Linked DNA regions of Sus scrofa. Each later gene encodes a partner of the first gene's protein in a complex. Links are inferred from orthologs where the notes say so. Each region holds a gene or a part of one and is shown in the gene's direction. Other genes may lie near its edges.

Region 1 (3,883 bases):
CCCGATCCCTTCTCCCTGCCCCGCCCCCCAGGTGCGCGTGAATGTCGTGCAGAACAACCTGGCCCTGCTCATTTACCTGATGCGCATGGTGAAGGCGCTGATGGACAACCCCACTCTGTATCTAGAGAAATATGTGAGTGGACCTGCCTGCCCTGCCGCCATCCCCGTCCTTGGGGACCCTGCCGCCACCAACAGGGGACCACTTGTCAGCACCGGCTGACTCCAGGCTTCTCCCCTAGGTGCACGAGTTGATCCCAGCTGTGATGACCTGCATCGTGAGCAGACAGCTGTGCCTGCGGCCAGACGTGGACAATCACTGGGCGCTCCGGGACTTTGCCGCCCGCCTGGTGGCCCAGATCTGCAAGCACTTCAGCACAACCACGAACAACATCCAGTCTCGAATCACCAAGACCTTTACCAAGGTGAGCTGGAGGTGCAGGGGCCCTCTCACGTCACTGCCGGGGGTCGTCACCAGAACGACGAGAGCTTCACCCAAACCCGTGCGGCTGCGGTAAACAACATGGAAAACCAGGGGCAGCGGGCAGGGGGATAGGAACTGGGACCTGAGCCACATCTGTCGTGTCTTAATGATTTACAAAGAAAGCGTGTTTATGACAGACTGGGGTCCTTACCAGTTAGCTTTTCATGCCCCTTTATTTGGGTTTATTTTCTGGCCCCTTACAGAGCTGGGTGGATGAGAAGACCCCGTGGACAACGCGCTACGGCTCCATCGCAGGCCTGGCAGAGCTGGGACACGATGTTAGACGCTGGGGGGAGCACTGGGGGAGGGGAGGGATTGGGAGGTCATAGCGGGCCACCACCCCCGGACCCAGGAAACCCTGTGGTGACCCCAGGGCCCTGGCTTCTCCCCTTTCTTTCCAACAGGTGATTAAGACTCTAATTCTGCCAAGGCTACAGCAGGAGGGGGAGCGGATCCGCGGGGTCCTGGATGGCCCGGTGCTGAGCAATATTGACCGCATCGGGGCTGACCACGTGCAGAGCCTCCTCCTGGTGACAAAGCCCCGCCCCTGCCCTCCCCCACTTCTTCCCACAAATCTCCCCTCCGCCCCCGCCACACACACAACAGGGTTTAGCAAGGGTATATATAGCATCTTCTGTTCCCTTTGCCAGTCTTCCCTCATACATTCAGAGCACACCTCCGAGTCCCATATCGTTTTACACATGGAAAGACTGAGGCACTGAGGAGTCAAGAAAGAAATACGAGGTCTCCTCCGATTCAGCCCCTGGCCCAGGAACTTCCATATGCTGCAGGTGCAGCTGTGAAAAGAAAAAGAAAAAAAAAAAAAAAAAGGCAGAGAAATAAGGTCTTAAGACTCAGCCTGTGACTTGGAAACTGCATGGCCCCTGATGCTTCTGTGTCGCCCTAGCCTATTCTGCACAAGGCCTACGCCCAGTGGACCAGCTGGGCCCTAGATGATACCAGTGTAGTCAGCATGTTCTTCTCTCACACCAGCTGGCGCCCGTGTTCTCTACACACACTGATACCCCAGTGCCAACTGGCCTCCAGCAGGAACACACTGAAACAGTGGGTGGCCTCCTTTGCCGCCCCTTCCCCGTCAAGGTTCTGAGTCCCAGCCCTCCCTCTACCTGGCTGTTTTTTGCCTTCTTTCTGCAGAAACACTGTGCCCCGGTTCTGGCAAAGCTGCGCCCGCCACCTGACAACCAAGATGCCTATCGGGCAGAATTTGGGTCCCTCGGGCCCCTCCTCTGCTCCCATGTGGTCAAGGCCCGGGCCCAGGCTGCTCTGCAGGCTCAGCAGGTCAACAGGACCACCCTGACCATCACCCAGGTCGGTGCGGTGTGGGGCGGGGGTGAGCAGGGGGAGACGAGGGTGAGGCGAAGTGGAGAACCCAGGGTGGTTCTCGTCCTGGCACAGACACACAAGCACACGCTCACTAGCACAAGACACAGGGCCCCCGAGCCAGCAGTCTTGGGGGAGTCTAGGCCCCCTTGCTGACAATGGCCGAACCCCAGTGAGACCCACTGAGGAGCAAAAGGAGCCCTTCTTTCTGTAGCTGGTGAATGTTTTTCATAGATGGAGACATTTTCTTATGGAAGTTCCCAGGCAGGGCTGGAATCTCAGTGGCAGCTGTGACCTACGCCAACAGCTGCAGCAACGCCCGATCCTTAACCCATTGTGCTGGGCCGGGGACCAAACTGGGGACCTGAGCCAACGCAGTTGGAGTCTTAATGTATGGCACCACAGTGGGAACTCTTGGCAACATTCTCTTCCTGCTTCTTCTTGTTATAGCCCCGGCCCACGCTGACCCTCTCACAGGCCCCCCAGCCTGGCCCTCGGACCCCTGGCTTGCTGAAGGTCCCTGGCTCCATCGCACTGCCTGTCCAGACACTGGTGTCTGCACGAGCTGCTGCCCCACCTCAGCCTTCCCCTCCCCCAACCAAGTTTATTGTAATGTCATCGTCCTCCAGCGCCTCATCCACCCAGCAGGTAAGCGGAGCATGGGGAAGCAGAGACCGTGGGCAGTGTCGCCGTGTCACTGATTGTTTGGTTGGAGCGAGGGGAGTATCTCCCAGGCCTGGGGTGTGGGGAGGGAACACGCACTGCCTGTCTTCCCGCCCAGGTCCTGTCCCTCAGCACCTCGGCCCCCGGCTCAGGCTCTACCACAACCTCGCCCGTCACCACCACCGTCCCGAGCGTGCAGCCCATCGTCAAGCTGGTTTCCACCGCCACGGCCGCGCCCCCCAGCACTGCCCCCTCTGGTCCCGGCAGTGTCCAGAAGTACATTGTGGTCTCTCTTCCCCCCACAGGGGAGGGCAAGGGAGGCGCCACCTCCCATCCTTCTCCAGCCCCTTCCCTGCCCTCCGCCCCCTCCCCGCTTGGGGGCAGCGCCCTCTGTGGGGGGAAGCCCGAAGCGGGGGAGAGCCCCCCTCCCGCCCCGGGGACTCCAAAGGCTAATGGCTCCCAGCCCCCCGGATCTGGCTCCCCTCAGCCTGCGCCTTGATGCTGTCACAGGCCTGCCCACCTTCTCTGCCCCGGACTCACACTCATACACACACAGGCTCGCGCACGCTAGATGGAAGGAAGGCGTAGCTTCCTCCGCGTGACCTTCTCTTTAGATACTGTACAGCCAGCTCCTCAGAATAAAAGTTTCATTTTTAAGGTGTGGTCCCCCAGTCCTTCCCAGGGCAGATCCCACAGGAGGGTTGAACCCACCGAGCTCCCTTAGTCTCTAGGACACAGGACTCTTCGAGCCACACCCACAGCAAGAGGCCAGGACACTGGAGGAGAAAACATCGTCCTTCTGCTACACAGACCCGCTCTTGCCGCCTGAGTCCTTATTCGGGAGCCTCAGATCCGAATGACGTAGGCATCACTGTGGCTTAGGTGTCGCACCCACTTGTGGGGGTTGGCGTTGCCGCAGGGTCTGAACGGCAGCCTGAGGAAGCGAACCTGGAGGCCGGAGCACGTGTGCCGGGGAAGTTCGAAGGAGAGGCTGGCAGGGCCCAGCCCCAGAGGAGCCGCGCCGGAGGGCCCTGGGCCGGGAGGCCCAGGAATGCCCGGGACATCCATCTGTGAGGGGCAGAGGTAGGGGAGGGTGCTGAAGGCCCAGAGAGGAAGGAGGGCGGGGGAGCCGAGGGGCCAGGAAGCCAATCACGCTGACCCACCGCACTCAGAGGCAAGCGCCAGGGGCTGGAAATGGAAGTGGAAGGAGAGGGCCTCCGAAAACCAGCGGCTGATACCTGGAAGAGGCCTGAGAGCTGCGAGCCTCCCTGCACCCGGGGCAGGTCCCAGCGAAGGGCTCCCTCCCTCAGTTCTGCCTTCTGCTCTGGGCTGCTCAGCTCCTGAGAGAGGCTGGAGGCCGGAGAGGAAAGGCGCTAAGACCAGCCCCTGGTCTCCTGG
Region 2 (4,498 bases), on another chromosome or scaffold:
AAAATGGTATGCCAGACTCCTTAGAAGAATGAAGGGATCAGAGTTCCCATAGTGGCTCAGTGGTTGGAGAATCCGACTAGGAGCCATGACGTTGAGGGTTAGATCCCTGGCCTTGCTCAGTGGGTTGGGGATCCGGTGTTGCCGTGAGTTGCGGTGTAGGTGGCAGACACGACTCAGATCCCATGTTGCTGTGGCTGTGGTGTAGGCCAGCAGCTACAGCTCCAATTGGACCCCTAGCCTGGGAACCTCCATATGCCGCAGGAGTGGCCCTGGAAAAGGCAAAAAGTCAAAAAGTCAAAAAGTCAAAAAAAAAAAAAGAATGAAGGGATCAGTGGCAGAGAAATAAGACTAGGACGATAACTCGAAGCCTAATGGTGAAAGGGCCTGGAATCTGTGAACATGGATCTGTGACAGTGTAAGGGAGGATTGTGAATTTGGTGGGATGAAGATGGCAAGATATAAAGACAGGAAGGGGAAGTTCCCTCATGGCTCAGGGGATTAAAGATCTGGTGCTGTCACTGCTGTAGCTATGGTCAGAGCTGGGGCATGGGTCCCACCTCTGGCCTAGGGAACTTCTTCAAGCCACAGGAATGGCCAAAAAAAAAAAAAAAAAAAGAAAGAAAAAGAAAAAGAAGACAAGGGAGAGCAAATTGCTGCATCAGTTCAGGTAGGAGACAGCTTTTCCTTGTGACAGTTACTGCTGTTCACTCTGGGCTGTCACAGCACTTTGTACTCTCCTTTATGTTTGCAGGTTCTCCATCTTAGTGTGTGGACCTGGGCTCCAAAGGGACTGAGGCTGGAATTGTGTTTTGTTTATATGCCTAGCATCTAGCATAGCATAAATAAAGCAACTGTCACCATGCATTTGATGGAAGAGATAACCAAAGGCATCAGTTTAATGGTTGAAGTACAGTTCAGGCTTTGGAGTGAGAATTTGTGAGTTCAATTTGAGACTCTGCTTTTATTAGCTACTTAACTTGCTTAATCTCACAGATTTCCTTTAAATCGTTAAAATGATTTACCGTAGGTTTAGAAAAATTTCTGGCAGATAGTAAGGGCTCAATTATTACTATTATTATTAACTGCCTATTCACAGTCATAACCCAATCGGTCTCCCTTGTCCTCAGATTTTTCCTGCTGGGGTCCAACGGGATATCTATGGAGTGTTGCTGTCCCACGAGTTATTACCTTCCTGATAGCACGACAAAGACACCAACCAAAAATGGCGACCTCTAAGCCATCCGAGGACGTCAATGCTGGTCATGATAGCGATATACACAGCAGGCAGAGTCGGAAAGAAATAGCTAGGGCAGGGTTCGTACCGCCAGAATACAAAGCGCATAGTTTGCTTACACTGCCCATTAACCACAAGCCGAAAAAACCTAACCACCAGAACTGAGCTACAGCGCAGAACGGCGACCACGTGTCGGAGAGCAGTCTGCGCCTGCGCAAAGCAGGCGCGCGCCCGCCAGCCGGAAGAGCCGCGCGTTTCCGGGTTGGAGGCGGGGAGCGGTGCCGGAAGTACTCGGGGAGGGCCGAGCAGTCGGACCGGCTGCTGAGACGAACGCTTCACTGGGGCAGTCTCCGCATATCATGGGGAGATAGACGCTGCTGCCTGTGAGTCTTGGGCCCTGGCAGTTGAGGAATAAGAGCGGGAGGAGGGAGTCAGGACCCAGACCACAGTGGTCAGTGTTCGAAGAGCCAAATTGTGAAGGAGACTGGGCTGTGTGAGGAATCAGGCTCGTGGGACGGGACTGAGGGGCTCGGGGATCGGAGAAGACGCGGCTGTGGGGACCTGGGCTCCAGACGGGACTTAGGGAACCGGGATGGATGTGAGTTCTCCCGCACGCAAGGGAAAGCGAGTTGAGAGAGATAGGATTATGAGGATCCGTGCTTCTAAGAGGAGAGGGTCGGAACTGAACGGGGTGTGAAGACACGGACTCCTGAGAGGTAAAAGCGAAGCTGTTAGGACTTGGGCTCTTAAGCGGCAGAAGCGGAACAGTGAAGACCCAGGCTTCTAACGATTCAGAAACAGGGCAGCGAAGACAGGTTCCTGAGAGGCAGGAGCGGTAAGAGAACATTTGGGTTTGGGAAGAACAGGAGCGGGCAGTGAAGACGCGCTTCTTTGGGGACCGGATCGGGGCTTGCAGACTCCGAAGTACCTGAGGGAACAGGACTATGAGGACCTGAGATCCTAAAAGCGGAGAGTGTAAGGGGCTGTGTCTGTAAGTAGATCAGCCTCCAAGGGAAGGGGAGAGAGTTTGAAAAAGACATAGTGATCCTTCCCCCATCCCCTCATATTCTCTGAACCGGGAATGGTAAAGGATGTATTCAGGGGAAGACGACTCCTTCACGCTGCCTATTTGGCTTTTGGCAGGCTTATCGTGTCAGAACGATCTAGGAAGCCAAGCATCTTCGTTTTCTGCTCCTTCAGGAGTAGCACTGGTGTGAAGTTAAAGCAGTTTGAACTCAGTTGTGTACTTTATAAGTGCTTTAAATCCCATTCCACTCAACTCCGATATTTAGCATAGATCTCTGCATTTCAAAGAAGAGAATGACAGAGATGGAGAGACCCCGGAAATATCAGGCGTCCCCCCACACCCCCGGGCTTGCAGCGGCTTTATGTAGGAGGATATCTGTTTCTCTGTTCCCAGACCAGGGTTTGGAACAGCAGCGGTGAAAGCACCAAGTACTAACCACTAGACCACCAGGGAACTCCCAAGATCATCTTTTATAAACTCATATTTTACCTCTAAGGAGGCTAAAGTCCAAACAGGGCTTAGGGTTACACTGAGTCAATGATTGATTAGATGGAAATTTTGTTACAGTACCCTGCTCTGCATAGCAAATGGGAGAGGCTCGGTTAATACTCCTTGAAAACATGCTTCTAGAATCTTTGCTCTAACTTCAAACTCAAGAGGGAAATTTTTACAGATTTAAGTACTTTGAGTCTTGTTACTGTATTGACATTGATGCAGTGAATGTCACTTACCAGTTAGGAAACCATTAAATGAAGCCCCTTCCCTCTCAAAAATAGTCATTTAGAAAGTTCATATAGGTAAGTTGTATCCTGTATTTTTAGCATAAGCATTTACTGGAAATAGCCGCTTTCAGATAAGGATGGTGGAGAGACTTGGACTAGTCACTTCCCTTCTTCAATAATACCTTTTACTGAAACTTACTCAGACTAACCAAACACCATCATAAGCACTTTCAAGTATTAAATCATTTAATTACTGCTTACTGCCCCACCAGTTAGATATTGTTAATCCCATGGCACAGATAAGGAAATCAGTGCAGAGACGTTAAATGTTTCCCTGAAATCACATGGTACTAAGTGGCCCAGACCCAGTCAAACTCAGGTGTTTGAAGTTTTTTCTGCTTTTCTAAGTGGATTCCTCGCCTTGTCTCAGTTTGCCCATCAGCAAAATTGCATCCTCATCTATCTTTGGAAAATGTGCTACTTATTTCACTCATTTGTGGCTCTAGCATTGATTGAATTATTATAATAGGATTTCTAAGAATGTACCTGATAGAGAATCATTGTGTTAGAGTGGATATGAACATAGAACATATTACTTTTAGGTCCCGGGGAGGCGGGTGCTGCTTTCATGGCATGCAGAAATTCCCAAACCAAGGATCAGACTTTCACTGCAGCAGTGGCAATGCCAAATCCTTAACCACTAGGCCACAAAGAAACTCCAGAACATGTTATCCCTCCCCCCCCCCCCCCCCCCCGCCACAGCTGCACCAAGGCATGTTTAAGTTCCCAGGCCAGGGATCAAACCCATGCTGCAGTTGCGAACTATGCTGCAATTGCAGCAACGCAGATCCTTTAACCCACTGTACTGGACCTGGGATCAAACCTGCCACAGGTTCATGAATTCAAAGAACATAGTACTTTTTACTCAAGGTGTTTGGGGGAAGTCCCTAAGTACTTTGGAAACAATATATCGGCTGTGTTTACAACCAGTACCATGAAACAGGTGTGTTGGAAGCAGAAGACAAACTTTAAAATCAATACATACCTGTCGTGGTGCAGTGGTTAACACATCCAACTAGGAACCATGAGGTTGCGGGTTTGACCCCTGGCCTTGCTCAGTGAGTTAAGGATCCCCCGTTGCCATGAACTGTGGTATAGGTCAAAGACGCAGCTCGGACCCCCAGTTGCTGTGGCTGTGGCGTAGGCCAGCATCTACAGCTGCGATTAGACTCCTAGCCTGGGAACCTCCATATGTGCCAGGAGTGGCTCTAGAAAAGGCAAAAAGACCCAAAAAAAAAAAAAAAAAAAAAAAAAAAACAGTACATACAGACTTAATTTTAAATCTTAGATACTAGTTGTTGGAGTTGGAGGGAACTTTAGAATTTGCCTGGTCCTTCTAATTATGTAGAAATTCTGGTTAAAAGGAGCTCACATAACCCAGTGGTAGAACTAGGATAGCACTCAGCCCAGCTGACTTGAGTCTTTTTTTTTTCTTTTTTTGCCACACTCATTGCA

Evidence for each region.
Region 2: TAF6 (region 1) and TAF12 share a complex: the UniProt entries of both Homo sapiens proteins name them as parts of the TFIID basal transcription factor complex. The link is inferred for Sus scrofa from reciprocal best matches to the Homo sapiens genes TAF6 and TAF12.

The regions. Positions count from the first base shown.
Region 1 is NC_010445.4:8,016,934-8,020,816, reverse strand, and holds the end of TAF6 (transcription initiation factor TFIID subunit 6), read left to right. Parts: intron 1-31; coding exon 32-133; intron 134-239; coding exon 240-422; intron 423-684; coding exon 685-759; intron 760-885; coding exon 886-1,011; intron 1,012-1,636; coding exon 1,637-1,810; intron 1,811-2,272; coding exon 2,273-2,470; intron 2,471-2,603; coding exon 2,604-2,984; 3' UTR 2,985-3,118; downstream 3,119-3,883. Other genes in the region: AP4M1 (AP-4 complex subunit mu-1), read right to left, coding at 3,332-3,553, 3,724-3,835. UniProt on the Homo sapiens protein: The TFIID basal transcription factor complex plays a major role in the initiation of RNA polymerase II (Pol II)-dependent transcription.
Region 2 is NC_010448.4:85,640,077-85,644,574, reverse strand, and holds the start of TAF12 (transcription initiation factor TFIID subunit 12), read left to right. Parts: upstream 1-1,504; 5' UTR 1,505-1,617; exon of another isoform or gene 1,618-2,069; intron 2,070-4,498. UniProt on the Homo sapiens protein: The TFIID basal transcription factor complex plays a major role in the initiation of RNA polymerase II (Pol II)-dependent transcription.